Astyanax mexicanus: one gene and its partners. The protein of the gene in region 3 interacts with the protein of the main gene of each other region in a pairwise test. Links are inferred from orthologs where the notes say so. Each region holds a gene or a part of one and is shown on either strand. Other genes may lie near its edges. The genes, in order: lmo3, map2k1, protein BANP and tox4b.

Region 1 (7,363 bases), about 52 Mb from region 3:
AACAGGAGAGGACAAAAGGGAAGAAAACAGGAAGTCGGTCGTTTTTGCGTGGAGGAGAAAAGACAGAAAGGAGAAAGGAAATAAGAAAAATAAGTAAAGGAAACGGACTGCTTTCTGTTTGTGAAGAAGAAGAAGGAAGAGGAGGAGAAAGAAGAGGGGATCGAGTCCAGGCTTAGACCTGAAGAGTACCGGCTTGGCTGCTGCTTGTTTCGCTCGGTACAGTATCCTGAAGATTTTCCCCTCTTTATACACTCAGTCTAGAGTTGCCTGTGCAAAAAAAGGGAAAAAGGGGGTGGAGCATTGTGTCCTGTTATGATTTATATGTAAGACTTGTGCAAGTGTTTGGACAAAGTTTGTGTGTTTGCTAACTTTGCCACCATGGAAGTCTGATGAGTAGCCTAAAATCTAAAATTGTAATGGTGGTGGTGGGGGCTGGATGTTGTGGATGAGTTTTGTGTGACAGAAGGTGCAGTAACGTGGTCACAGGGCATTGCTTGCATTTTTGATTGGAAGCTTAGTGCACAAGAGCCATAGCCTGGTTGGTTGTACTGAGATGTTTCTATCACCTTGCGCTGTAGAGAGTGAGAGATTGTGTGTGCACATGCGTGTGTGTGAATGTGTGCCTGCACTTGCAAGTTGCATGCGGGTTTGCATGTTATAACTTTATGCACCTTTAGATTTCCTCTCTCTATCTCTCTCTTTCCTATATATACACACATATACCCATACACACGTGTGTGTACCGTACTGCTGCCCAGCTCATCTCTCCACATAACTCACATATCTGTGCTGAATAATTGACGTGATAATGCGCGAGATGAAGTGGTCGTTGGGGGGAGGGGTGCGAAAAAGAGAGAAGAGCCAGTCTCGCGCTCTCCATCTCTCTCTCTCTCTCTCTCTCACTCTCTCTCTCTCCCTTTGCGTCTCTCACCCCCGCAAATTGCATGATTACGCAGATAGCCCGCTTTGAAATAATTCAATCCATGACAAAACCTAATTACAGCCAGGTAATACCCTGTCAGCTTTAATGCATCTCATCACTCATAATGGTGGCGAGGAGCGTTTTATGACCCATCTCATTAGTGCTGCGCTTTAGTCACAGTGATTGGCAAGAGGCCGCCTGCCAGGACTACCGGTGGACTCGCTAACTCTGACCCCATCTCTTCACCACCCTCGTCACCTCACCCGCAGACTGATGGGAAATAAAAGAAAACAAAAGCAAACTTTCTGAGATCCAAGCTATTACCTGTTAGGCTACACTATAGGAGTGTTTTTACAGTTTGTGTGGAGTAATTATGGACTAGGTGTGAACAAAAGCGTTGTTTAATAGCGAAGTATCACAATATTGTAATGTTTTGGATTACTGTATTAATTCTCAAAACCACAGTGTCTGATTAAAGCATCGCTGGCAGACAGTGGTTCATATTATGATGTCCCCTCAGATTTCACTCTTCTGACTAATTGAAACATAAGCTTTTCATTTTCTCAGATTTTATACTATTGGCAGTTTTATCTAAATTTTGATAATAAAAAAATCTCAGTATATCGTCTTGCTTACAGTATTGCGATATATCACAAAATATTGAATCACAACACCATTCCGCCATACCTATCACCAGGTTCTTACCAATACAAAGCCCTAATATGGACATCAATAGGCACTCACTGAGGGGGGTAAACACCGAGTTTGAGCTTCAGAGACACGTACACAAGCATGCACATGTTTACCAGTGGAAATCAATTATATCTGCAGTAGCATGAAGTGTAAGCACACTGAGAACACTCAAAAAAAAGAGATGTGCCAAAAATTACAGAATGTCAGCACTGTTTCACAGTGAGTAAGTTTACAAGCAAACAATAAACCCAAAAATGTGTCATTGTGTCATTGCTGCATAAAATAGGGTAACTACAGGGTAACAAAAATAGGGTAACTACAGGGTAACAAGAGAGCAAATTGTAGGCTAATTAAATTAGAATTGAGAAGCAAGGTAAATAAACATTACAAATAATCTATGTGTTGCAAATTAGACACTGTCTTAGGAATGTGTTAAAATTAAAATTCCTGAAACAATATACGTAAAATGGACAAATTACCTCTTAGAGTGCAAGAAAACTAATTGTTCTATTCTGTCCAGGCAGTTAGTAAGTTAGTAGTCGGACCTTGGCCTGCAAAGTTGATACAATTTTTGGAATGTCGTTAAAAAAGAAGGCCTTTGACATTTAACATGACTCAGGTACCATTCTGACTATATGTAGCCTATATAAAACTTCATATTATAGTCTCTATCAGAGTGCACTCTCAGAAAAAATACTCTTCAGTACTATATTTACACAATTGTTTTACCCTAGTTTTAGGGGACATTGTTGGGCTTAAAGGATCATGCTGTACCTTTAAGGGTACATTTGCACTTTGATGAAAAAAAAGCCTGTTAAAGCACCTTTTATTTAGAAAGTGTGTTGTGGTCCTGGATGGCACGTGCACACTTTTTACAGAGCTTGAATTAGTTGCAGACTGAAAGAGAGAGTAAAAAGCGAGAAAGGTGAAGAGATAGATAGCAAGATAGTAAACAAAAACCTGTTTAGGCAGAGTAGACTGACTAGCAGAGCCGTTTATATACATGCGCGCGTCTCGACATCCACCGCACGCGCGCCAGAGAGCGAAGAGAGAGCGCGCGCGAGAGTGGTGTAGAGACAGACGGACGCACGCTCGCTCGCTAGCACGCGCGCGCGCTCCCTCACTCACGCAAGCTCACACGCACGCACGCACACACGCACGCGACTCCGACTATCAGTTATAAGTGAACGACCTTTTCCTCGCCGTGTAAAACGTCTCTCTTTTTGCTGGTTTACAGTAGTCACTCAGTAACGCAGTGCGTAAAAGAAGCTCGCGACTCGCGGCTGCGCGTGCACCGGTGCGCTGCTCCGTGTCTAGTCCAGCTTGTGTGCGCGTGTGTGTGTCTATGAGGGCTCGCGCGAGAAGAACACCTGTAGCTGCGTGTCCGAGTCGCGGGTTGTACCTCCATCCATGTGGACCTCGCTGTTTTACACCTGAAGATTCGCAGTCGTCCGGCCGCCGCGGCGCCATGTGGGTCTCGTGAACTTTATCAGTGTTGTTTTTCTGCTCGGAAAGATCAGAGAGTTGGGGGGAGTGAGATCGAGCCCGGAGTGAACCTTCTGCTCAACTTGGTCAAGAAGGTGAGTGGGGGGCAGCGGGGGGTGGTCGGCGGAGGACAAGACTTTGGTTCACTTTAGGCTTTAGTTTTAGCTAAGAAAAGTCACATTTTTAACACCTTCTTGTGAATGTGCTTGTAGAGCTAATAGGCTTCATTAGGTTTTATTAGTAGTATCTTATATAGGAACTATTAGGAACAAAAACAAAAGGCAGAACCTTTCAGACTTAGGTTTAAGTTACATTTATACATACATACATACATACATTTTGCAACGTTTTCAGCATGTTTTAACGCATGTCAGTATGTCTGTTTTTAAAAAAGAGTTATAGCATTATTTTCTAGAAGTTTCTTGTGTTTTTATATAGATTATATGTGCTTAAACAGAGTTGTTAATGTGTTTACTTTTCCACTTTTCTTTAACATTTTCTTTTTTTATGTCTTTATTAAGGGACTTTTTAAATGACTATTTCTTTTATTGGACAACAAAACAGCAGCTAGATGCCAGATGCATAAAACACCGGCATTTAGAAAATGTTTGTATCTGTAATATTTTATCTGTTACAAACATCAGCACTATTTTGGAGTAGATAAATAGCTGAAAGCTGAAATTTTCTTTTATAAAGGCATATATAAAATAATGTAATGTTTTCGTAATTACGTGTGTATGGACGTAGATCGGTTTTAGTATGTGATGGTTTTGTTGTTACTTTTTATTATTATCAGTATCCCACGTTATTTATTTCAACCAAACGCTTTGTAGCCTATACTGTTGTCGTTCAAAAAATAAAAACGAGTAAAAAGTCATCAAGACAATCATTATCATCATGATTATCATCATCATCTCCTCACTATAAACCAGCATAAACACACGAAACACACGAGCTGCTGCTTCTGGTGGTGGTGCTGCAGCGGCTGCTGCTCCGCTCGGTCCCCCTGTTTGTTTTGTGTGTGAGTGAAGCGGCGGCAGGATTATAGTGTGAGGGCGCCGCGGAGGGGTTTGCCTGAGCGTGTACGCCTTTGTGGTCCGCTGTCATTTTGCTCGCCGTCACTCCGCGCGCGGCTGCTGCGCTTCTGCTGCTGCTGGATCTAATTTCATAGTCGAGCTCTGCTCGTGACGAGACGCGCGGTGTTAGTTAGTTAGGGCTAGCTATATCAGCGTGTGGCGCGAGTCTATCTCTCCCTCTTTCTCTCCATCTATTTCTCTCGTTCTGTCTCTCCTTCTCTCTTCTCCGTGGCTCTACCCTCAGCAGCAGCGGCGGAGGTCCGGCTGGGCTCCGTTGATTGGTGTTTTCCTCGTTTCTCCCTCTTTCTTCTCTGAGGGAAGTGAGGCGACGCTGGATTTGTTAGCTAAAGCTACTTCTAACAAAAGCGAACCGCCCTCAGAGAGAGAGAGAGGGAGAGAGAGAGAGTGTGTGTGAGTAAGAGAGAGAGTGTGCGTGAGTGAGAGAGAGAGAGAGAGAGAGAAAGAGAGAGAGAGAGAGCGCACGCGGCTGCTCACTTTACGAAGACCGGGGGGGAAGCCTGGGCTCGCACCTCCTCTTGTTGCATGGTGTGTGTGGTGGCGGTGTTTTTGGACGAGCTGAAGCGGGTCGACCAATGCAGAAAAGGGAGAAAAGTTTCGGTAAGAGCTTCACTCTCTCCTTTTTCAGGTAGATTTATTGTTCTCTTACCGGTTGTGACCGTTATATCCGCGAGACAGCCGTTTCTGTGCTGTAACGTTATAGTTTCGTTGGCGTCTCCGTACGTTTCCTTTCTCCATTGATTTTCCTCTTTTTATTTATCGTGAGATTTTGTCTTGTGTGTCGTGTGTTTTCTTTTCACCAAAAACGTGCTGTAATTATACGTCTCACACTCTTCCGAATCGCATTTTCCTCCTGTGTTTGTGTGTGTTTACGTTTTTTAGTGTGTCTTAACGCTTAACGTTTCTCGTTTTCGTTTCTCGTTTTCGCTCGCGAGCTGATTTGAAACGCGTTTAACGCTCCCTGAGTTTAACGGTCGGGCTCCGTTCGCGTCGCGAGCCGCTTCGAAAATTGCCTCCTCTGTAGCAGATCTTATTGGCCTTTTCCAAGCACCGCGCTGCCATGGCAACCGTAATTAAAGTGATAAGCGGGTGAAATGTCAGCATCTCCGGCTCGCGCAGCTGTGACGCGCTTGAACGGAGGAGGGACGGGGATGAGGAGGAAAGGGGGGCAAATTGGTACTTTTTACCCAAGTCTCGCTCGAACCCTTAAAACCGTTCAAAAAACGCACGCGGTGCTTCAAGCAGAGCATGAGAGGAAAAATTGGGGATGAGCACAGACAGTGAGGGACCTCATCTGTGTGAACTGTTAGTGCTAAAATATAGACATAAAGGCATAAAGATAATAATAATAATAGATAGATACATGTAAGGACAGTCACAAGATAGGACAGTGTGTTTTATATTGGTTTTTGGTGTTGTGTTTTCTGGGAAATCCCAGAAAAGAAATGATAATAATTTGAGAAATCAGTCCACACACAAACTCCCAGACTGGCCATCTGGAGGCAGAGCACTAAAAGAATAGGGTCTGCATCAGAAACCAATACTACAGTACAGTACAAAGATTATACCGCAGGACTGCACAATATATCGTTTTTGCATTGACATCGCGAGAAATGTAATGTCATGTAAGGCAAACATCTATTTCTTACTTTTTGCCCAAACAACAGACATGCTCAAACAAACCCATAAGAACCTTCACAACACATGCTGGTGCTTCAGGGATCTCGTCTAGGTGAAGAGTTTGTGCTTAAATACAGGCATAAAAAAAATAATAATAGTTAGATATATGTACGAACAGTTGCAGGTTAGGACAGTGCTCCTTAGACTGGTTTGTGTTGTGATGTCTGGGAAAACTAGTTTGAGAAAAAACTCCCAGACTGGCCATCTGTAATGCAGAGCACTAAAAGAACAGGTTCTGCATCTAAAACCAATACTAAAGTAAAGTACACATATTATACTGTTCCATGTACTGTTCAAGGCATTGTTTTTGCATTGGCATCGCAATTGGCAGATTCATAATAAAATAGTCACATCTCAGGACATGTTGCGTTGAATGTCATGTAAGGCAAACATATATTCGTTGCTTTTTGCCCAAGACATGCTTAAACAAACCCCTAAAAACATTCACAACACATGCTGGTGTTTCAGTAGGACATAATTGGAAAGACTGGGGAAGAGCACAGACAGTAAGAGATCTCGTCTGGGTGAACTGTTCGTGCTGAAATACAGGCATAAAAAAATAAATAATAGTTATATATATGTAAAGACAGTTGTAGGTTAGGACAGTGCTCTTTAGACTGATTTGTGGTGTGTTTGTCTGGGAAAACCGAGAAAAAATAATAAATAATACTTAAAGAAATTAATCCACACAAAGACACACAGACTGGCTTTCTGAAGGCAGCGCACCAAAATAATAGAGTCTGCATCCAAAATCAATACAATATTAAAGTACACATATTATATTGTTCAACTTAGGACTGCACAATTTATCGGTTTTACATTGGCATCGATATGTGTAAATGCGTAATAGAATAGTGACATCACGGGATGTCATGGAATGTCATGTAAGGCAAACTATCTAATTGTTACTTTTTTACGTCTAATTGTTAAGGCTTGCTCAAAACCTAAAAACCTTCAAAACACATGCTGGTGCTTTAGTAGGACACAAGAGAAAAGGCTGAAGCTCAGTGTGTATGTAGTGTGCTAGTGACATTTAGTGTCTAAATATACACACACACACACACATATATGTTTATATTGCACTAATTCACGTATTGGTGGTGTATTTTTCTAGCAAATATGTATTACTTTTACTGCACTGACATACTATTCATTATAGTAGTGGCCATGTTGTACTAATGATTTTACTTTAAATGGTGATGTGCCATCTTAATCTGCTACGTATTGTACTACAAATGGTGATGTACTGTTTTGATGTACCATTCTGAATTGTACTATTCATAATGTACCAATTAACATGTTTAAATTATGTTCTATTTTGATGTATTACTCAGTATTGGTGTTATGTATTGTACTAATGAAAGTACTGAATAATGAAAATACAGCACCACATACATGGTGTTGTACAACACTGACAGACTGTTAAGTTTTTCTAGCATGCAGTTTTGGATGCAGCGTAGATTTATTAATTTATTCATTCATCAGAAAT
Region 2 (8,098 bases), on a different chromosome or scaffold from region 3:
CCCTCTGCTGACAACTTTATTGGGATGCGGATTTAATTTTCCAGCAGTAGTTAGCACACCTCCCACACTGCCAAAAGTACTCATCCTGTGCAACAGAGGTAACTCCTGGCTTTTTTTTTTGATGCATTGCTGACACAGATGTGCAAACACACATGTATCAGTGAAAAGGAGCGGTGCATTTGGGTGCACTTTGAGAACTAGTGGACACAGATATCTGATTTTCAAGTAAATATCACTACCCAGACTATCACTAAAATAGTATATGTATATAAAACAATATTAGCTATAGTATTGAAAGAATGACCTCTGTAAACGTACCTCAGAATGTATTACAGTCATTTACCCACCATGGGCAATACAGGTAGGGGCTTTATATTCCCTGTTTTCGAACTACACAAAGCTGATACACTAGCCTTGTAAGAAGAGATATCAAGTCAAAATTCAACCCACAGAGATCACTGATGCAATATCAAATGCTGTGCTAAAACCAATAAAATGTAGCTATGTAGCGTTACATAAAGGTTCTTTGCATTCAACAGTACAATAAATATATAATTGAATCTCAACCACCTAGGGATGTATGATCATGTCTAAATGATATCAATCATTATCAACAAACACATTTTCAAAAATGTATCTGCATCTCTATTTTATAAATATTTATGCATCAGAATCAATTAGTATCTGCACTAGCACCTGTGTGTCAAAGTGTGTATAGGAGAAGCATAATCCTTCTTAAGCCACATTGTTTCTGCACTTATTGACTATGAAAATCTTTTTTGCATGCAATGATTGACACTTAAAGGGAAAATCAGAATAAAAAGTAGGCCTAGTGATGCTTCTGTATTGATTTTTTTCCTCTATGCTACAGTAGAAATCACCCAGTAATCTGTAAACCACCTCTCAAATAAGGGGGTTATTATTTATTTACATACACTGATCAAGCATAACTTTAACACCACCTGTCTAATACTGTGTAGGTCATGCTTCTGGCACCAGAACACCTATGACCAGTAAAGGACTCCACAAGGCCTATGAGGATGTCCTGTGGTATCTGGTACCCAGATATTAGCAGGAGATCATTTAAATCCAGTTTAAATCCAGCTGCAAGGTTAGACCTCCATAGATCACATCAGTCTTATGCAATCAAGACTCTGTTACCAGTTCATTGAATGACCTTCCTATAAGCACTTGTCTGTACTGTTGTGGAAATACTCTTGCCCATCCATCTGGCCATCATAATTTCCATCTTGTCAAGGTTGCTGAGATACTTCAATTTCAAGAACTGATGGTTCACTTGCTATCTAATACAGGGTTTCTCAACCTGTGGGCAGAGGACAACCAGTGGGCTATGAAACACTCTCTAGTGGCCTGCAGGTCTATACTCAGGGGGAGACAGTAGTTCTTAGTAAGCCAGTGACAGCAATTTTAATCATAAAAAGTATTTTTTGGATAAAATCATTTAGTATACATATAAAACCAAGAGCCATAAGGAACATTAAACATCATTAATTTGAGGCAGTGTGTGAACCTGATTTAGACATGATTTTTTTTTTTACATGATAAAAAATATGTTTTCTTGTGTGTCGTTATGCCATAACATTATTACCAGATAGTCCACTCTTAGAAAAGGTCTAATATAAACTGATATGCCAAATATCATGGCATACCAGTATGTAAATTGATCACAATGTGTTACCTCATTTAGCAGCTTGGGAACACCTACACCTGTATAAGTTGTGAGGTGTTATCTGAGAAGTAAAGTTAAACCCCGCCAGCATGCTCATGGCAAGGTGATGTGAATTATATATTCACATCTGAGGGAACTCTGATAACGATGTGTGTACCAGGAATATGTCATAAGAGGCATTCTCACCCACAGTGGACAGCGCAGTGGTGGTAATGATTGTGACCCGCAGTGTCTGGCTATAATTTTCCAAGTGAACAACTAAGGCTAACATCCATCACATCCACATTCAATGCAGGAGGCTGAATACATACAGTATATTCCATACATCCGTGCAGCATTCTTTAGTTCCTACTGAACATGACAAAACACATGGAACACAGCATTTGTTCCTGTCCCATGACATATGGTTCATCTTTTGTAAGGTGCCACTGTAAGCAGATAATCATATAATTGTATTCACTTCACCAGTCAGTGCTTTTAACGTTATTAAGCCTATTAGTCTATCTGCAAATGCAGATCCTGATACCTTAATTGACCTTTCAATTGAACAACATAACCATGGCATTTGATTGGTCAGTGTCCAAATACAGATAAATGAGGATAAAGCATTGTTGGGCTGCTTTGAGGAAACAATGAGTAAAAAGGCCTATTATCTATTCTTCCACTTAACATGTGATGAATAAATGCAAGCAAATGCTGTGCCATACTGCCAACGTGCGTGCCAGGGCCTTGCACATCCATAAAAAAAGCTTCATTATGCACATCTGCTGCACAAACCTGCCTGCACAACACCGCCAATGCAGAAACACTGATCCAATCCTGAACTTCCTTTAAAACATCGCTCACTCAGACAAGAACAAGAGCTACCTTTCATAAAACACAGGCTCATATTAGTCTATAAACAACATGTGTTTGCTCACATGATGCATCATTAATCTGACAGCATCTCATTTGTATAAGATCAGATGCATCTCAGTGGGATAGTGCTTGTGTCTGTCTATGCAAATCCAGCAATTATCCAACTCTGCTCCCAGTGGCACCATGCGGTGGGGGGTTCTCACAATCTGCTGAGTAAACCTTTCTCCTCTGTAGGACTGTCCAGCAACTTTTAACTGATATATTAAACTTGCACCAGTACTGACACTGCAGTGATATAGTGTTGCTTTATGTGAATCATTTCAGACAGCTAGCATCTCTTTTAGGCCTACCATCATATGTGAACAGAGTTTTTCAGTGATTAATGACTTTGAGCTGGCATTTATAAGAAATGCCGTTCCACATGACACCCGCAGAAGTTGTATGAAACCATCGCACAGGTGATCCAACTACTTAGTGGGTCCCGTCGGTAGGAGTCATGTTTGTGTATGTGACTGCCATAGACATCAGTACATTTAACTCACCACTGATGCCATCACAGGATTGTCACACAAGCAGCTGCCTTTTGCTGCTTTAAGCAGGAATCGAACCCACAACCTACTGGTTCAGAGTCCCCAGCCTTACACACTATGCCACCAGAAACATGTGAGAGAAGCACCAGTAGAACAGCAGGCCATTAAACACCCTATTAACACATACTTAAGTATGTAGAGATGGAATTCTCATTAGCATCAATGAAGAGATATTTATTATACAGTAAATGCCTTCTTTAAAATACTTCTGAAATGATAGATACAAACTCTGTAAGCTGATAGGTGTGACCTGGTATAGATAGTTAAATATAATTATTTGTGTAATTTGTCCCAAACATTAAAGGAATGGTTCACAAAGAAATCTAATTTACATAACTTTCTGTTTATAGTACCAGTCAAAAGTTTAGATACGCCTTCTCTCTCAAAGTTTTGCTTTATTTCTGTTTTTTTTTTGTTGTTTTTGTTTTTTTCTACATTGTAGATTAGAATTAAATGCAGGACAATAATTAAGGGACACAAATAAAGTTACACAGTTAAGAAAAAAGTGTTTGGCCTCCACAATCCTCTGATCTAAACCAACTGAGATGGGAGATTTAGTTGAGCTGGACCACAGTGTGAGACAAAAACAGCAGAATCTAAAGTACAGAACATTCTCTGGTTTGTTTTCCATGTTTTTGTGTTTTAAGTTACTGTATAGCTTTAATTTCTTTAATATGAGATTTAAAATGTAAAAAAAAAAAATAAGAAAACACATTAAATGAGAAGAATTGTGTTTAAATTTTTGACTGAAACTGTACATCATAGTTAATCAGCCATAAGGTGTATGAAGATTGCTTCTTTATACAACATTCTTCTTATTTTTTCATCACTGGAACATCATTTAGGTCTAAAATGATTAAAATGTGCAGGATGTTTTTGGGGAAAATTGCCCAAAATGATTTTTTATTTATACATAAATTATACATGTGATGCAAATCACAATAAAGTCTCCTGTAATTGTATATTTTTTACTGGACTTTACATTACTATTGAAATCCTTTAGAACTACTAAGAATAAGAAATGTCTAAAAACTGTAATATTTTCTGAGGAGCTTTTTAAAGTTTTTTTAGTTCTTTATCTTTAGGATTCTTTCTTTCTTTCTTTTTTCTTTCTTTCTTTCTTTCTTTCTTTTCTCTCTAATGCACATTTTCATGCTGTATTCTATTGTGGTTTCTTTGTATTAACTTGAAACTGTAAAGAATATTAATCCTTTCAGACACTGCATCAATTGCAATGGACATGGTGTGCTTTCTTTTTTCTTGTGTATTCTATTATCCTATTAATCTTCAGGATATACATTTATTAGCCAATCAAACAGCAGACTGCATTGGAATACTAAAATTCTGCCAACTGAAGTAAAGCAGGGTAGCATCCCAGCTAACGTGGCAGAGAAAACACAGTTGCTGCAATTTTTTACAGTTTAGAAATATACACACATCCACAATATCTACACACATTTGAATATATATATATATATATATATATATATATATATATATATATATATATATAAACGATATATATATATATATATATATATATAAACGATATAAAATACAAATATTATGTTTGATACATATTATATATTAGTTTATTATTTAGTGTATTGTTATTTTTAATTGAATCCTGTTTTTGAGTGCATAGCATTCTTTTATTTTTTTATCACTAGGTCTAAAAGGGTTAAAAAAAACCCAAAAGTTAAAAAGGAGATATTTGTGCTAGTTTTTTCTTCCAGCAGGTGGAGACATTGCCCAGCATTAAGCCACGCTCTCCGGAAGACAGATGTAAATATTTTCGTGACGCAACCAGCCCATCTCCACAGTCATATATCCACCCATATCAGTGCGGTATTGGTGTATATTGTGTTTCTGTCTGTACAGGGGGCTGAGCAGTGCTGTGCTAGTCGCCGAGGAGAGCGCGTGCCTGTTTTAATAGTCTACTTTATTTATCTCGTGTTGTCGTGTTTGTGTGCATTTTTCTCAGACAGCCACTGGGTGTGATTAGCTGTATATATACCCTATGCATCAGACCGCTCTCTCTACAGCAGCACGCGGGTATTTCTGCGGATCAGCCTTCTTCCCTTGATTTATTTCTGATTGCTAAACTGCAAGACATCAAGAGTCGTAATGCAGAAACGAAGGAAGCCAGAACCGATCCAGCTCAACCCAATTCCTGATGGGAACGCCGTTAACGGAACCGGTGCCTCGGAGTGAGTATGGTCTGGTCTGGTTCAGAAGCTTAACCCTAACAGGAAAACCAACTAAATGATGCTCCTTCAGTAAGATACATGGTTTAATACTATAATTACTGGGGATGACACTGGCTGATCATCAGGCTGTGTTATACAATACAGTGGTATTCTGTGTAGTGGAAAAGGAACAATACTGTTTCATACTCTTCTGTTTTGATCATAGGCTCATATTGTTTTTCTCTTTTTAAAAAAGTTATAAAAGGTTTTATAATAATGCTTATTTCCTCTGAGAAAGTGTAAATACAGTGTATATTTAAAAGCCTTGCAAGCTAGACAGCTAGGCTTTAAGGACACTAGGACAGTGTTATGAAAACACTTTCATTGTTATATTCTTTTACTAAAAGGCCTGCCAATGCAGTACTGTTTTAGACTGTGTACCTGGCACTTTAAAAATGACAATTTAAAAATGGTGCATCAAACTGCAGTAAACAAACGAGACAACATAAGCAATGGGTATTTTAAAGTGAATTAATGAAAGTTCAGGTTAGCTCAGAGTTAGAGTATCAGAAATGCTTGTTGGCACACAAATAGGAACTATTTCTTTCTTTGTTCATGTGTTTACAATGACAGCCACACATAATTGCATCAGTATTTACAGACACTTTCAAAATACACAGTAGTTATTGTGATACTCATAATTGCAGACAATGACTAAAAATCAGTAATTGCAGAATCTTAAAAAAAACATGATTTTAAATTTTCTCAAATGCGTTTTACAACCACTAAGGATATCCTCAATATACTCTATATTGTGAAAGTACATAATGTATAAGGATAAAAAGAAAGAATACACACAACTTGGTGACTGTCTGGCAAATAAAACTAGGAGTGAATAGGAGAAAGGGATGAGAAACAAACAACAAATAAACAAGTGCTTCCGTTCTGTTGGATATGATATATGGTGAAACCCTAGGAGTGAAATAATAGTAAGACGAAGAATAAAACTGTAAATAAGGTTATATATACAGATAATATATACAGTGTTGAACCAATGCACACAGTGCTCATTCATGTCCAAATAGACTTAAGAGCAAATTGATTGGGAATAAGTTGTTGTTGTTGCATAATTTTACTAAGAATCAGATGACATCCCTAAAAACAGAAGGGGGAGGTTTGCTCTCCACACAGAGAGCCCTTATCACAGTGGGCCAGAGTGGCCAACACACAGTAATGATTCCTCCATCAAATAACCTGTCCAGTCTTTCTCGCCCCCTCACAGCCATAAGTTAGGTAAACAGATTTTGTTTCTAGTTGTTTCCATGTGAGCGTGACTGTGTGTAGTGATAGGAAAGCACGGCTCAATCTATCATTAGGTAATATGAGGGCAGAGGATGTCCAGAACCTTAGGAACCCAAGTCTTAAGAACTCCGGGAACAAATGGAGAGGCTGATCGGTTTTGACAGCATGCTCCACTTCTTGAAGCTTGAGTGCAATCGTCTCATTTCACGTTGTTAAGCAATCACGGTGGATCATTTACAGCAGCAGCAGCTATCACCATTAACAAACAAAGCCCTGCTCCCAGTGCCCGGTGCTGGCCTCTTTGTTTAGAGGCTGTCTGGAGATGCTGAGGGCTGCCGTGTCTGTCTGCAGCTTCATGTGGCAGGCCTGTGGTCCTGTTCCTCTCTCTCTCTCTCTGAGCCAAGAGCCAATCACAGCGCTGGCGGCCTGGACTCAGTGGTCCGTGTCATTGCCTCTTGTTTCACCGGCGCTCCGGGGCCCAGACACTTCTCTTTCACTCTTATGCTTTGGCCTTGAGAGACCATTACTGATTCAGAGGTGCGGGAAGAGGTACAGAGGCGTTCTATTTTACACATGGCACTGCATTGATTCAAGCCTCTTTTCAAAGTGTTGGAAATGATTGTGTAGGAGGACATAATGTTTCAGCTGACTTTATTTTCTCCTACTGCAGTACAGTATGTTCACAGATTGTAGACTAGTGGTTACAGGTTACACAATCAGGTTATGCCAGTTCTTTTGGCAACTCAAAATATATTTAGTGAAAGTTTTGCACAATTCAGTTATAAAGACGTCATCATATGAGCCATTCAGAGAGGTAGATTATATACTTTATCCTTTTCCACACTCTTCTTCAGTGGTCAGGACCCAGTCCCACAGGACCACCACAAAGCAGTGGTCATTTGGGTGGTGGGTCATTCTTAGCACTGTAGTGACACTGACATGGTGCTGGTATGAGTGGATAAGGCACAGTTGTGCTGCTGGGCTGAAAATAGTCAATATTCCACAAATATCCAACCAAGAGTGTCTTGTGGGCCGTTAAGAAGGACTGTTTTTACACAGTGATAAAAACTTCCAGCAGCACTGACGGTGCTGAACTGCTCTTCTACTATAACAACAGACTGCTTGGGTTGCCTACAGAGCTATAAGTCTAATAGTAAAAAAGCTTTATTTATTTATATGATATATCAGGTTCTTAAAGAGCTCTTCCCCTTGTAACTCAGTGGAAGGGGTCCAATTAGAAAAGGGATTGGGCCAAAGGGTTTGCTCTTCTCTGTACCTGAGGAACACTGTCTAAGTTCAAAATCCCCAAAGAGACAACACACTTTCTGCTGGCTTTAAGTGAAGTATTAGCATCTTTATATGAAACAGTAGGGACTCTGAATGGTGTAGGTGACTTAGGGACAATTTATAGTAGCTGTGATCCTCATGCCTTAGTTTGACATACAGCTCCCCAGAAATGAAACTGCGAG
Region 3 (7,689 bases):
CTTGTTTAAGTTTTCATTCATCAATTAATCACAGAACACAGTAATGGTGTAGTAATAAGCAGTGAAACTCAAGTGCTGTTCTCACCTTTAGAGTTGCATCTTGATTACTACTTTCCATCCTCGCTCGTTTTCGCTCAGGTTTGTCAGCCTCTTCATGGTTTTCCAACACATCTAATCCAATACACATACAGCAATGTTAAACAACACATAGTAAACAGCTGCCACAGTGTTGAAAAACTATAAAACACAGAATACTAAAAAATACTAAAGTTTAGGGCATTTGCTATTATGTCAAAAAGTAAGTATATATACAGTACATGCACTAGGAGAAGGGAAAATTCATAAGAGCAGTGAGGGAGGTTTTTAGTGGCTAAATATAGAGGCACCAGGCCTTATAAACAGGCCTCATAAAACTTTTTTAAAGAAAAGGGCAAAGGAGAATATGGCTGCAGGGTCAAAGGAAAATAAACAGCCTAAAAACAAAGTTTAAAGACACATGTATTAAGGACTTGTAAACCGATGTAATCCTACAGACTATCTTGAACATTTAAATACCAGAGGCAGTTAAACAATTCTCTTACCTGCATCATGTTCCTCATGATTTAGATCTGCCACAGCAATCTGGACTATCTCCACCAGATCCTGCTCGGACATCATTCACACCTAAAAAAGCAAAGAAATTTGGTTTGTGTGACTATTTACAGTTAAGGAACAACTGATGAACTGTCTGGTGTTTGCTTTTATAAACTCATTTGAAGCACATACATGTTTTACATGCAGCAACACACCATTGGTCAGATTGTTAATACACAATCTGAATTGAAATGTTACATTTAGGCTACTTAAAGATGTCAAACATATTTATTTCAAATCAGTAAAACATGCCACAATATTTCCACTGCACAATACAAAAGTAAGAAATAAAACCCCTAAAATACATATATTTCACATTTATTTTATCTGGCTTCTAACAAAATTAGAATTGTATTTAAATGTTTGGTTTTCATTTGTTTTTCTTATTACCTCTGAACAAAATATGACGTTTGTTATGTTCCAGGAAAAAATATAGTGTAATCTTTGCATATTGTGACACCTTCTCTTGACAACAGCACTTCCTCACATATATGGGGCAAAGTTTCTAATATATTAGCCTTCTTTAATTTGGTGGTTTTCCTTTTTTAAAGACGCTTACTACTCAAGAGGTTAGTTACCCATCCCTGTATTTCTGTGTAGTTTAGCTCACTGTGGAGAGCTAGTTTTGCTTTCTGAGGTTTGTTAATTGGGATAAACCTTAAAATATTTTTTTCAGTGGTATTATCTATTTTTACTCTTTAAGTTTTATATTTTATTTATTTAACTTTAGCTATCTTTTCTTACCAATGTTGCCAGCTTTAAATGAAACTTTATAATTCAACAAATCCATTTTTTACCCTCTTTGTTAAGTGCCCTGAACCACAGTGCTTTGGTGGGGAAAGGACAATGTAACTGGCTGCAAATGACTGTTAAATGCAACAGTCCTTGTGAGAATTCTCTGACCTTCGCATAGGTTCAAATAAAATTGTAAAAGTGATGCAAGCTTTTTTGTAGTTATAAATCTTTTGAAATGCAAAGCAAATATTTTGCGAATGTGAATCTTTTTTTAATCTTTTTGCATCTTCATAAACAGCAGTCCAAATCTGTTTTTAAAAAATATCGTAACAATTTTGAAAGGGGATTCTACACCCTTTTATTAATAAAACTGATTTGTTGAATAAGGTTTACTAGGAGAGGGGGGCAGGGGGTGCTCCAGGGCTGAGATGCACCAATTTTGCTTAAGTTCCTATCTAAGTTTCTGTTTGAAGTGCTTTTACAATGTCTTTAGTTATTTTGTGAATGTGAATAACGTTAGATTTATATGGATTTTTTTTGTTTCTACATAAGCATGCTTTATGAAATTCGTATTAGGTCACATGATTCACACCAGAATCAGATAACGTGTATGTAGAAAAAAAACTTTTATTTGAGTAGAAAATCATTAAAACTAAATAATAAAATGTGAATTAATAGCAATACAGTTAATTAGCAAGATTAGCTAGCTGTGGACTGATGAATGGGCAGAGGAGGATAGACTATGGGAAAGATGGGTGTGAAGAAGGTGTGGATTACAATCAGCTGATACAAACACTAGTTTATTAATTACCTCCATTTTATTAAATCGTTACTTATTGTTTACTTATGTTAAATGCAAATGCTGTTATGGCAGAATTAAGCATTTCGTCTATATAAGTTACAGTTAACCAAGAAGGTCACACACCAACGTTAGCTAGGCAAATGATAGCTTAACATTTGTGGTGGTTTAACAAATAAAAATCCAAAAAATAAAAATCCTGTCCATGACTTCGCTCCAGCTGCTTAGACAACTCTAAAAAAATAATAAAATCCCGGGCTGGATTTTTACTTCCTGGACCTGGATTTCTCCCTATGCTAAACTAAATGCTAAGCTAACTAACTAGCTAGCCAGTTAGCCACGGTCATTCAGTACAAATTGTTCTGTTGTAAGTATTTAATTTGGTCAGCGACAGCAGCGTATTTTAACCCATAAAAGCCGTGTTTATGCTCTAAAATTGGTTAGTTAGTTAAGTAGGTTAGTCCCCGCCGGTAGCTACAGTTACTAGGTCTGGGGCTACACTCCGCTCTCTGCCCGCGAAGATAAACACAGCTAACGTTAGGTAGCTTTAGCCAGCTCCTGCTAACTTGCTCCAATGTTCAACAATATTGAAAGACTCAGAGAGAGGAAACGGCTCCAGGCCCGGAGCCGCAGTCCTACTAGCCCTCTCTGCTGAAACATGAATGAGGCGCGAAAGAAAACAATAAAAAATGAAAATGAAAAACGCGTGAATTAAGCGCCCGGCGCCGCCTTGCCCGCAGCACTGTGCGCGCGGCGGGGCTTCAGAGCGGGTTATATTACCGTGAGAAGGATGAATTCTCGTGTTGTTTGTAGGGATTCCGATAATGGCGTCCTTCCTCGCGAGAGATGAAGTCTGCTCATGAACTCGGGTCTCGTCTCTGAGCTCAACTGCGCTCCCGTGAAGAACCAGGAGGAGCCGGGCACTGCAGCACCGCATGCAGGCCTCATAACTACCCCCCTCCATACAGGGCCAATTTCTCACACAGGCCAGGGACAAAGGTGTCGAAATTATTCACATTCAATACTTCGATATATGCGTGGAATGTATGGCTGATATAAAACAAAACGTTTTTAACTCACTTCCGCAGCTAGAAATAGAGAAAATTATCTCCTCATCAAGCAGCACAACCTGCACACTCGAAACAGTTCCCACAAAATTACTAAAACCCGTACTACCAGACATAATTAAACCGCTGTTAATGATAATAAATTCATTGCTTACCCTGGAGCATGTACCCAAAACAAGAAAATCGAGGAATCTGTAAAAAATGTAAAAGCCTCTTGACTTAACATCTGCCCACAGTCCAATCACTGCTTATCCCATGGATTTTGTCAAAACAATTCAGAAATATGTCCTCATCAAAAGAGTAAGTCAAATAGCCTGAATAAAGCAGTGTTGGTTGACTTCCGCATGATACTGCATGCATACTAAATCCTACATTAAGTTATAATAAAAAAAAAAGAAATATGATATTTTGGTATGCTCTTTATTATACATCATGTCATTTGAACAGCTTTTGATCAGGGTCAGCTTGTACTAAAAGGAATTCCTCAACAGGTGTGTTCGATCCAGAAGTCCAGCAGCTCTCTCTGCAGGTGTAGACCATCACTGTCCCAAACTCCAAAACGAGCTCTGAAGAAGTACAAAGGAGGAAAACACCAGAATCAATACAGAAATTAATAATTTATGATTTGTATTATCGCAGTGTCTAAAGGCCACAAAAAATTATATAAACTATACACATATCATCTACTTCTGTTTTAAAGAAAACAAGTAAATGTAGCAAAGCTCTCATAATTTTTGACACAGGATACAACCAGCATGGTCTCTGTATTTAACATATACTGAAAAAACAAGAGCTAAGTCAGACAAACCTGAACTTAAATCTGTACTACGAAGCAAACTGACGAGTGCAGGCATGAGCTGAAATTCAAAAACTCTAGGACTGCCACACTGTGCACAGGGTGGCTCCATCTGATGAATATTTGAAGGACGTTCACATATAAACAAAGGTGAGCCTCTCCAACTGTATCTGCAACATATTATAACAGAGCATATATTAATAAAACATCAAAGTATTTACATTAAAATCAGCTCATACAGATATAAATCTTGTAGTTAGTTATTGTTTACTAGGGACTTGCTACTGTTTCCTTTGCAATCCACTCACCGAAGAACTTGTTCTGGACAGAGAGATATTCTTTTCATGAAATTGGAGAAGAAGGCATCTCCGTGTTTGGGTTCTGCCTTCTCATACTTCTCCCCTCTTCCTTCTCCTTCACAACTGAATAAAAATTCAAAATACGAGGAAAATTTATTTCAAGAGAAAAAAATATATATTTGAATATTTATTATTTGAAAAAATGTAAAGAATTGAAAGTATAACACAAAAGCAGAATCTGACAATAAAACTGAAATACTTTGTGCTTAATTATTTATTATTTTAAAGCAACCAATTTAACATGCACTATTGTCCTGTCCTGTGTTTTTTTTTAAGGATAATGTATTTACACACAAAGTATCATGTCATAGATTTCCTTCACATTAACCTAGTAAAATGTAAAAATGCATTCAGGTAAAGATCCATCATTGATCCTCAGTTAAGAATGCAAGTGTTAACGCAACTAAGACACATTTAAAAGAGGTTCAAATTCGATTGCGCAAACCCTTCTGGAGGTGATAAATAAATCCTTTTCTCCAAGACACAACCAAAACAAAAACAAAACTCCCCATGCAGTACGTTATTGTTGAGTTAATCAGCCGAAACTGGTGCCTTCTCCAAGTTCGGATTAATGCAAAAATGCACAAAAAAGCGAAAAACTATTAGTGGTACATTTTAGGCTAGCAACCGTCTTTAGCATAGCACAGAAAGAGGCTGAAGCAATGTTACTATGTAATGAGTGGTTTTTCATATTCTATCCCACACAGCAATCAAATTTCAGTCTGACTATCCATTGCTAGTAGTTTATACATAAAGTATGATATATATTCATTTGTACCATTCACTTTGTTTACATGACAGTTGTAATTCATCTGTTAAATTAAATACAATTAAATAGCTACACTTTACTGTGCCGCAGCCTGCTTGACTTGTGATTTAGCTCCATCTGTTTGAAATTATATCTACACTTGAATTGGCAAAAGTCAGCCGCGGCGGTAACTTTAAAACATATGTTTGTTTGTTTTGTTTTTTTAACAACAGAACATTTCTAATTAGCTCCTCATTTTGGTTTCATTGGCAAGGATCACGCTACAGGTGAATTGTGAACAGGCGGGGCAAAAACAACCAGTCAGCACTGCTGTGTTTATTTATAAATTAGCATGCACTTCTGAAATCACTAGAATTCATTATAGTTTAAAACTGTCAACTTTTAAAATGTAGTGGAAATAAGATCAAATTAGTTGTTTTTCAGGGGTGCCTTGTTAGCTTTCGCAAGCCATTCAAAAAATGTCCTCACCTTTCAAGCTCTCCAACAGCAACTCCCTCCCTCTCCTGATATTCCTTCAAAAGTTTGTTAGCATGTTCCACATTGTTCTGGCCCACTAAGTCTGTCTCCTCCGCCACACTGATGTAAAATGACTGAAAAGTGGGTACTGCAGTAGGAGCTACGGCACATTCCCTGTCCCCTGATCCATTTAAACAGAGGCCCTCAAGTCCAATACTGTCGACTGGTCCAGCTGTTTGTGTGTCCGGCTGTCTCTCTGTCACTGTCTGAGCTGTGTCTAGATTAGTGTGTGGACAGATCTCAGCTTCACTGTCCTCAGCTTCCATCCCCCAGTCATCGGCCTCATCACACCAGTCTGTTGCGAACACCGGGGCTTGTTTCACCTGCTGATTATCTTTATTGATGTCCTTCATTTCAGACTCCAAGCACTGCGAACGCAGAACTTTCCAGCTAGACACAAGAAGAAGCCACCAGAATAAATATTGGGCAACAGCGTAAACTGTGTCTTAATTAATATGAAAATGATAATTTACCTTTCTGGCTTGCCATAACACTGTGGATTAGTGCAAGCAAACACATTAATGGTGCGGTGATATGGAGACGCAGCAAGAGGGCAGTAGATCTGCACGACATGAGTGAGGATCCCATCACACAGAGCACACCGGTAATATGTAGCAGAAATACCAGGAATCAGGTCCTGTAATAAACATACATCACATGCAAGATAATCAATGTAAACCTATATTGTCAGTGCTACTTTTAATACCCTGATTTTGTACTGAAACTCTCTATATATATATAATATATTGGGGAGAATCTCTGTCATGGAAAATAAAATGCCAAACTGCCATCTTTTTTTAAATGCATTCTGTGGTGAAGACTGCCGAGAAGATCATCAGGACTCCACTGCCCTCCTTGCAGAGCATCTACCACCACAGAGTCCACAGGAGAGCTGCATCCATCCTCAAAGACTCCACCCATCCCCAGCATGGACTGTTCACACTTCTGCCCTCAGGCCGGAGGTACAGAAGTGTAAAATGCAAGACCACCAGGTTAAAGAACAGTTTCTTCCCCACGGCCATCAGACTCTTGAACACACCTAAGGAATGACCCTGCCTTCAGACTCTAAACACACCTCAGGTATAACCCTGCGATCAGACTCTTGAACACAACTCAGGAATAACCCTTCACTTTACTTCAACATGTTTACATTGCAGCCGTCACTTTACTGTTAATCTTTTTTTAATATATATAGTTAATGTCCATAACTGCATTATTTCGCACTTGCACTTTTTTTTATACATTTCTTTGCTTAAGTAACTTTTATTTTTTTATGTCTTTGACAATTAGTTTAATATTTATAACCTTATTGTATTTTTTTGCACTTTTTCTATCTTCTATTTGGCATTCTTGGCGAAGAGCAAAGAAAGAATTTCATTGTACACTGAAACCCGTTTCTGTACTGTACATATGACAATAAACTCTTTGAATCTTGAATCTCTTGAATCTTGAATACTATTTACTTCAAGCTGTACCCATTGGGGTGCTTGTCTAGTCTCTTTAAATAAGTACTGCCAACAGAATAGGACTTTTTGGAGACATGTATTGTTATAAAAGTGTAAAAGTCCTCCAGTATTGTTTAATACTTTTAGGATGAGTTGAAAAGTTGGGGATGAAGTCAGATAGGGTGGTAATCATCCAACATCCTGCATACTGACCATTCTGACACATAATGTAATCAAATTCTCACTGCAGTGTTCCAAAATAAGTGTAATCCTAATCATAGTGAAATGACTTGTCTGAATAGCAGTCAGTTTCTTAAACAGAATTAGCATAAACTAATTTTAATATCTTTGATTTCAAAAGTAACAAGGATTAAGCAATTGTACCAATTTGTTGTTTATATGGTGTATGTCCTGCTATTTACCTGAACCTGTAAACTAATGCTACTGCATGCTATCCAGTTAGGTTAGTATAGCTGCATGTGTGCTTGTTTGACTATTAAAACATATTAACTGTACACAAAGGTTAAACATCACTAGCAAAGATATTTAAATGTTATAAAATATCTGAAA
Region 4 (7,055 bases), on a different chromosome or scaffold from region 3:
ACGACAGCGTTACCAGGAACGCTAGAGGACGGGCCGCCATCACCCAGCTCTCCAAAGTGCGACACGACATCGGACACGCTGAGGGCGGGGTCAGGGTCCAGCGAAATGGGCGGGATTTCAAACTCCTCATCGCCCAGGCTGGGGGTGTGGAAGGTCTGCAGAAAAAAAGATGATTCAGGATGAGCTTAAACTCAAGGTGGCAACACTGTGTTAGCCGACCAAACAAACACAGCATATAAAACAGAGTAAAAAAACAAGCAAGACAATTTTGTTCAGCAAATATCCATTTATTGACGAGAGAACTGTAAGTATGTATAAGCTAAGTTATCAATGTAGGGATCTACAGTTGCCTTGTCCAACAAGCTAGTCTGGCATTTTAATTACTCATAATTTTGAATTATGCTTAAATCCAAATCACACTGTGATAGTGAATTTTTTTTTCCACAACCATAACACACTTCATAAATGTTGTACAACTAAATACCAAGGTATAACATTAGAGTGCAATATCATGGCATGTAACTAGCTTTATCCAAGTTAGCATTAGCAAACTATTGCTATTACTACTGCTGCTGGGCCAGAGCACAAGGGCCAGAGCACAAGGGCCAGAGCACAAGGGCCAGAGCACAAGGGCCAGAGCACAAGGGCCAGAGCACAAGGGCCAGAGCACAAGGGCCAGAGCACAAGGGCCAGAGCTTTATCAAGCAAACAGAACAAAAAGTTAGTCAGTGTATTAGTGTATTGAACTGAAATTGTATAAAGCACCTTTAATATATCTAATGCAAAACAAGCCCCATCGTGCACACAGTGGTCACTGTTCTTCATCTAAGTTTTGTTTAATTAACTGTAAGAATGCTTACAAAAAAAGTGGGTTTGTTCTGGTTTTCCCATCAACAACATACCCATCCCCAAAACTCAAGACACGTGTAGGATTACTGATGGCTTTGGATAGCACATAAATTGGTTATATTTGCATAGAAGTCAGGGCAAACACTTTGTTCCATCACCCTGACTGTATCCTGTAATGATCTACAATTTTATAATAACTTCCTGCTCTGAATAAGCCTGCTCACATTTCAACAACTCATATATTGGTACTACAAAAATCAGCGAGATTCCCCTTTAAACCTCTGCCTTTCTTCACATAAAACTAAAAAAGAACAAAAACAAACAAGAAGACATAGAAGCACCTGGATCTGAAGGGAGTAGGATGATGGGAGAGCAACCTCGGAGGAGGATAGGAAAGGATGGCCCTCTCCACTGATGGCCAAGTAGTTGTCATTTCCTCCTGGGAACTGAGCACACAACACAAAGTTAGAAACATTAAAGAAATAATTTAGTAAAAAGTGTAATACCGCCTACATTCATCATATATTTGGTGAGCTACCAAAATGATTACTAGTTTGTCTTGAGAAAAATAGACTTACAAGATAAATGTCAGTTGCAGCCCTACTAAACATTCAATATTGCTTTAAAAACAAACCAATAAACAAAATAAAATCGACAGATTAATCGACTAACAAAATAATCATTAATTGCAGCCCTAATACACAATCAATATAGCTCTAAAAAATAATTGACAGATTATCGACTAACAATATAATCATTACTTGCAGCCATTCTAAAAGAATATTTTGACTAACAAAATGATCAGTACTTGTAGCCCTATTACCCACCACAAAATCAATACACTAAACAAACATTATAGCTCCAAAAACAGAAAGAATGACTGATTCCAGAACCAAATACCCACCACACAATCAATACACTACACAAACATTATAGCTCTTAAAACAGAATGACTGATTCCAGAACCAATTTGGGCCGATTCTCAGGTTTTACTTAAATTTAATAGTAAAAAAAAATAATAATTAACAAATTAGTTGACTAAAAAAACATTAGTTGCAGCCATACATCACAGTCAAGATAGCTCTAAAAAGAATAATCTACATATTATTTGAATAACAAAATAATTAGTGTCAGCCTTACTACACAATCAACATAGCCCTAAAAATAATAATTAATAACAAATGAATCGACTAACAACATAATCAAGAGTTGCAGCGCAACTACACAATCAATATAGCTCTAAAAGAGAATTAATGAAACATTAGCCAAAGCCCTACTACAAGAATAATCGACAGATTACTCCACTTACTTGTATCCCTACAACCCATCACACAATTAATACAGCTCAATAATCGTTGAATTAGTTTACAAAACTAATTATTTGCAGCTTTACTGCACAAACAATGTAGCTCTAAAAATATTAGACAGTGTAGTCGACTAGAACTTCAACACAATTAATAAATAGTACCAAAATAAAATAGTGTGGTCGTGGTTGTTGATCCAGACAAATAAACAAACACAGGAGCTCTCAAAATGAAGGTTATGGAAATAAAAACATTTGTACAAGTATTCGATCATTGCTGGTCATTTGAGAGCTTAGAAACCGAATTGTTCACCTTCTGAACCGAATCGAATCCGTTAAAGGCCTGCGGGTCCAGAAACTCTGGGTCTCCGGGCTGACCGGCTCCGTCTGTCAAGTCCGAGTAAAAATTCAGATCCATGTTGAGTGAGAACCCGAATATCACTGAGTTTAATGAACAGAGTCGAGTCGATTATTCTAGCAGGAGCTCGATTATTCACCCCCGCTGTATTCGGATACTCCTGCCCCAAAAATAGCTCTCCCACCCTGGGCTTCCTCAGCCCGCAGCCCGGGCTAGCATGCCAGCCCGGCGCTGCCAGGCTACAGCAGGGCTGGAGAGCTGCCTACCCGTGTGTTGGGAAGCGCTGTAAGAGGAAATGTAGCGGAACTCTGTAAGATTTTAAACACAATCCGGGCCTTTATATCTATATATCCGCGGAAGAGGAGCCTAGACCCGGCCGGCCGGCTGGCTAACTCCACTAGCCCGCTGCTAACGTGCAGAGCCTCGGCGGTGTGTCGCTTAGCTCCCCGCTATGAATGACCGATTCCCGGGGCTACACACGGCCAACACTCCCGCTTTCTACCAAATCCCGCGTTTATTTCTACACTTAACACCCAGCGGACTACACCTCATAATACACAAATGTTATATATCAAATAAATAAAGAGCACTGGCTGTCCGTCACATCAGGAACGTGTCTGTTCCTTTCACTGCTCTGTACTGACGATGACTGACTTCTGAATGATTCATTTATTTGAGCCGATTCTCCGATTCTTTCAATCTACTTGAATGAATCAGTCGAATCGATTCACTAACAAAGGTGTAAAAAGTGTCTCCATTTATTACTCTGTAGGTAGAAGTATAGATACCATGGTTTAATAAAATACTTCTGTAGAAGCTGAAGTATCAACTCAAGCTTTTCATTTTTAAAGTAAGTTTTTAAATTTACTTGTATTATAAACGTAAAAGTAATGTAAGGGGAAAGCTGCAAAAAGTCCTATAGTGCACTACTCCCTTCCCAAAACACAGTTTTCTAAAAGCCATAAGGACTATAATGTTTTATTAAAATGTTAATGTTATTAAATTTAATATGCAATGACCCTGTTTCAGCTGCATATATGTTCACTGAAAATGAATGTATTTTAGTAGAATGTAAATATATTAAAGAAGCTTAATTGGACTGGAGTTTGTCTGGAGCTCTCTTGAGTCTCTGCACGAATCATCTTCACACTAGTCTACATACATCTGCTATGTTCTTGCTAGAGCATGGGCGTGACGTGTGCAGGTGCGACGGATCATATAAACTAATATGGTGTTGGAATGATATATGTATATACTTCCCACAATCAAATTCACTGTAAGCTACTTACAATTACACTTATATAGGTCTTGTTTGTCTTTCTAGGAACCCAAGGTTGCTTACAATTATATTCTACACACTCATCAACACAGACCAGTGAAAGGCAGCAGCCAATCATGCATAGCATACTCTCAACCAGAAACCACCGTCCACCTGATGACCCAGCATAGAGTGCCAATCCATATCTGGCCATACACACATACATACTTTCACCCATATACATACACATACACTCCATATTTTTGGACTGTGGGAGTAAACCCACACGGAGACGAGTTAAACATAGAAACTCCACCCAGATGTGGACTTGAAGGCAGGGCCCCAGCACTGGAACGCATACCTTGTAACCACTAAGCCACCTTGCTGTTACGACCTATTCCTTTATTGTCACTGCACAGCGTAATTCTACAACAAAAAGATGTAGCTAGTAATACCCAGTGGTGTTCACACCTAACCTAATTGACCACTTTAAATATAAATAGAGGAAGGAATCATGCAAAAAAAATAAAATGTATACAATAATGAATACAGAATATGTGTATCAACTGATTGAAATATAAAAAAAATATATGTATGGAAAAATTACACATTTTCCAGAAACCCTAAAGGCAGTATAAAAAATGTTAAACATTTTTTCCTTTTCAATAAAAAATATAATCATTCCACAACACTGAACATTGCAAAAGGAAACAAAAGCAGAAACATAAAAAATAAAAGCAACCATGTTTTTTAATCACAGAAAATTTGGTAACACATTACAATAAGTCACAAATACCACTTAAGACAGCAATAAACTTGGCTAAATGGTGAGGTAATGTTTTCACTAATTACTAATTGAAAGTAATTAAGATATTACTAAACATTACTTAATTTTATTGCTGGAAAATGTTGTAAAACATTCAAAATAATAAACTGATACGTATTGGTTAATGATGTCTTTACTAGTGTCAATTAAAAAAAATAGTTGAGACATTTCTGTTGTAAGTACTGTGAATTAATGTACCCTTATTGTAAAGTGTTACTGACAATTCATATAAATGTATTATAAGGGGTTATTATGAAAATTAAATAATTTAAAGTAATTTTAGACTCAATATTTATGCTATATCTACATCTATGTGAATGCTATGTTGGCTTACATTAATACCAAATAGGAAGTTTAGAGTAACATTTTTGGGGAACAATAATAAATTCACACCAATTTAATAAATACAAATTACAATAACTTAAATTTCTGGGCACATAAATATTAAATTGTCAGGGATCGTACGGTCATGAAAAACCTTTCATGCTATTTGAAAATAGCAATTTCCAAACCTGGATAAGTTTTGGAAAAATAAAAATACCCAGAAAGTTTTGAAAAAGTCATGGAACTTTGGTCTACAATCTATTTTGAAAATCTATTTTGAGCTAACAAACACAACAGCACAGAGTTAAATTAGTAATTTAGCACAATGGAGCGCTCAAGATGTGAGGCACATTTTATTATAAAAATAGAAAGTCGCATGGTCATGAAAATTTGCCATGAAGACATGAAAAAGTCATGAAAAAATAATGGAAATTTATTGGTTAAAAAGTGTATGAACCCTGATTATATATAATTTATTTTAGATTAACACTAAAAAGTACCTGTAATCTAATGTTTAGTTACTATTTCTATTACAAATCAATGCATCACTCAACACGGCCATTTAACTCTGCAATGATTCATTCATTAGAATCGACTCAGTGAGTCAACTCGAACCTCCTACTGTTACAGTGCCCCTGCATTACAGAGGACTCAATCGAGGCCTGAGTAATGGATCTGGATTTGGGGATTCAGGATAATTTTGAAGTAAGAGGGGGAAAATGAAACCAGTGCTGTTTATGCTTTTGTGTTTCTAAAAGTAAAAACAGTGGCTGGCCTTTCTTCACAGTGTGTTACACACACTAGAGTGTGTTTAGAACTTTTTTTATAATTAGAATAAAACAGACAGGATTAGTCTCTAGTGTTATAATAATCACCACCACCACACCCCTCCATTTATGACACAGTGGTTCAGTCCTGCAGGCCAGGAGCATGGAGAACAGATCTGCTGATCATTCCCAGTGACAGGGGTCTGTAGAGCATATGTCTGAAACATGATAAATGCTGCCTACTGAGAAGTTCAGTAATCTAGTCTTCTACACTATATCACCAAAAGTAAAGGCCTGCATTGCTGTGTTTGGTGATGTGAGGTTTGGATGGAGCTGCTTGGGAAGCATTCTTTCACTAATGTTTTTAGAAGCAGTCTGCAGGACTACCGGATGGTTTTATAGGATTGTGTACTTACTATTCTAAATAAAAACAGCTAATGTTCAGCTACTATGAGACTTTTCAAAGCATTAAAACAGTTGATATATCTGAATGAATATGGATTAGAACATTATTTAAATAGGGCTATTTACTGTATACCAACTCTACCTCTTCACAACTTTACAACTGATGCTCTCAAACACATTAAGAGACAAGAAATTCAAGTAAATAACTCTTGACGAGTTCAGCACTGCTGTTAACTGAAAGCCTGAATTCTAGGTGTGTACATTATAAAGATGTGCAAAGCTGAGGTGAGCAAGAGGTGCTATTTTGAAGAATCTAAAATTCCTTCCACTCTTCTACACACCTTAATATTTAGTTCAGAATTCAGAATTTTGTTGACACTGATCCAGATTTGAATGAATCACATCTCAATTCACATTACTAATGGTTTGATTCTAACTCCATGTGTCTGATTACAGTAAACTTCACTGTAATGTCGTAGTTTATATAATAGCTCACTGTACCAGCATATACAATAAACTTCACTAATAAAAGTAATAAAGTAGGGCCATCGTGGATTATTAAAAGGGAAAATGTGGTGAGAACAAGTGGATAAGGACATTAGTTATTAAAACAGGCCGCTCAAAAAAAGTCTCATTTACCAGATCACCTTTACTGGTGTAATGCTGGATTAGCCTACATACCTACACCACGCTTCTGTGTGAAAGCAAAAGGCAACAGATCCAGTCCTGAGGTCTTTTTTTTACTGTAGAGCATCAGAGTCTTCTGTATTTTGGATATTTTTTAAAAGTTTCAGTAGCTTTTTAAAAAAATCACTGGGAGCATGAAAATTAACGTATGCGTCCTCCAATACATGTGGAGTCAGACTCCACCTCTTTTCTGCACTCAGAGGAAGATGCTGGATACCCAGCTCTGATAAATCATCTAGCAGATGCCTGTACTGACAAACATAACATTACGAGTGGTA

Evidence for each region.
Region 1: the proteins of protein BANP (region 3) and lmo3 interact in binary tests that used the Homo sapiens proteins (3 or more experiments, as listed by UniProt). The link is inferred for Astyanax mexicanus from reciprocal best matches to the Homo sapiens genes BANP and LMO3.
Region 2: the proteins of protein BANP (region 3) and map2k1 interact in binary tests that used the Homo sapiens proteins (3 or more experiments, as listed by UniProt). The two-hybrid records come from large-scale screens. The link is inferred for Astyanax mexicanus from reciprocal best matches to the Homo sapiens genes BANP and MAP2K1.
Region 4: the proteins of protein BANP (region 3) and tox4b interact in binary tests that used the Homo sapiens proteins (3 or more experiments, as listed by UniProt). The two-hybrid records come from large-scale screens. The link is inferred for Astyanax mexicanus from reciprocal best matches to the Homo sapiens genes BANP and TOX4.

Annotation. Positions count from the first base shown.
Region 1 is NC_064409.1:10,575,909-10,583,271, forward strand, and holds the start of lmo3 (LIM domain only protein 3), read left to right. Parts: upstream 1-4,228; 5' UTR 4,229-4,719; coding exon 4,720-4,822; intron 4,823-7,363.
Region 2 is NC_064416.1:23,842,406-23,850,503, forward strand, and holds the start of map2k1 (dual specificity mitogen-activated protein kinase kinase 1), read left to right. Parts: upstream 1-4,963; 5' UTR 4,964-5,265; coding exon 5,266-5,348; intron 5,349-8,098. UniProt on the Homo sapiens protein: Dual specificity protein kinase which acts as an essential component of the MAP kinase signal transduction pathway.
Region 3 is NC_064409.1:62,589,526-62,597,214, forward strand, and holds the start of protein BANP, read right to left. Parts: upstream 3,156-7,689; 5' UTR 2,948-3,155; intron 664-2,947; 5' UTR 658-663; coding exon 582-657; intron 172-581; coding exon 86-171; intron 1-85. Other genes in the region: pdcd2l (programmed cell death protein 2-like), read right to left, coding at 3,670-3,800, 4,043-4,200, 4,339-4,452, 5,627-6,064, 6,148-6,311. UniProt on the Homo sapiens protein: Controls V(D)J recombination during T-cell development by repressing T-cell receptor (TCR) beta enhancer function. Binds to scaffold/matrix attachment region beta (S/MARbeta), an ATC-rich DNA sequence located upstream of the TCR beta enhancer.
Region 4 is NC_064432.1:21,417,112-21,424,166, forward strand, and holds the start of tox4b (TOX high mobility group box family member 4b), read right to left. Parts: upstream 3,175-7,055; 5' UTR 2,571-3,174; coding exon 2,466-2,570; intron 1,296-2,465; coding exon 1,191-1,295; intron 156-1,190; coding exon 1-155. UniProt on the Homo sapiens protein: Transcription factor that modulates cell fate reprogramming from the somatic state to the pluripotent and neuronal fate. In liver, controls the expression of hormone-regulated gluconeogenic genes such as G6PC1 and PCK1.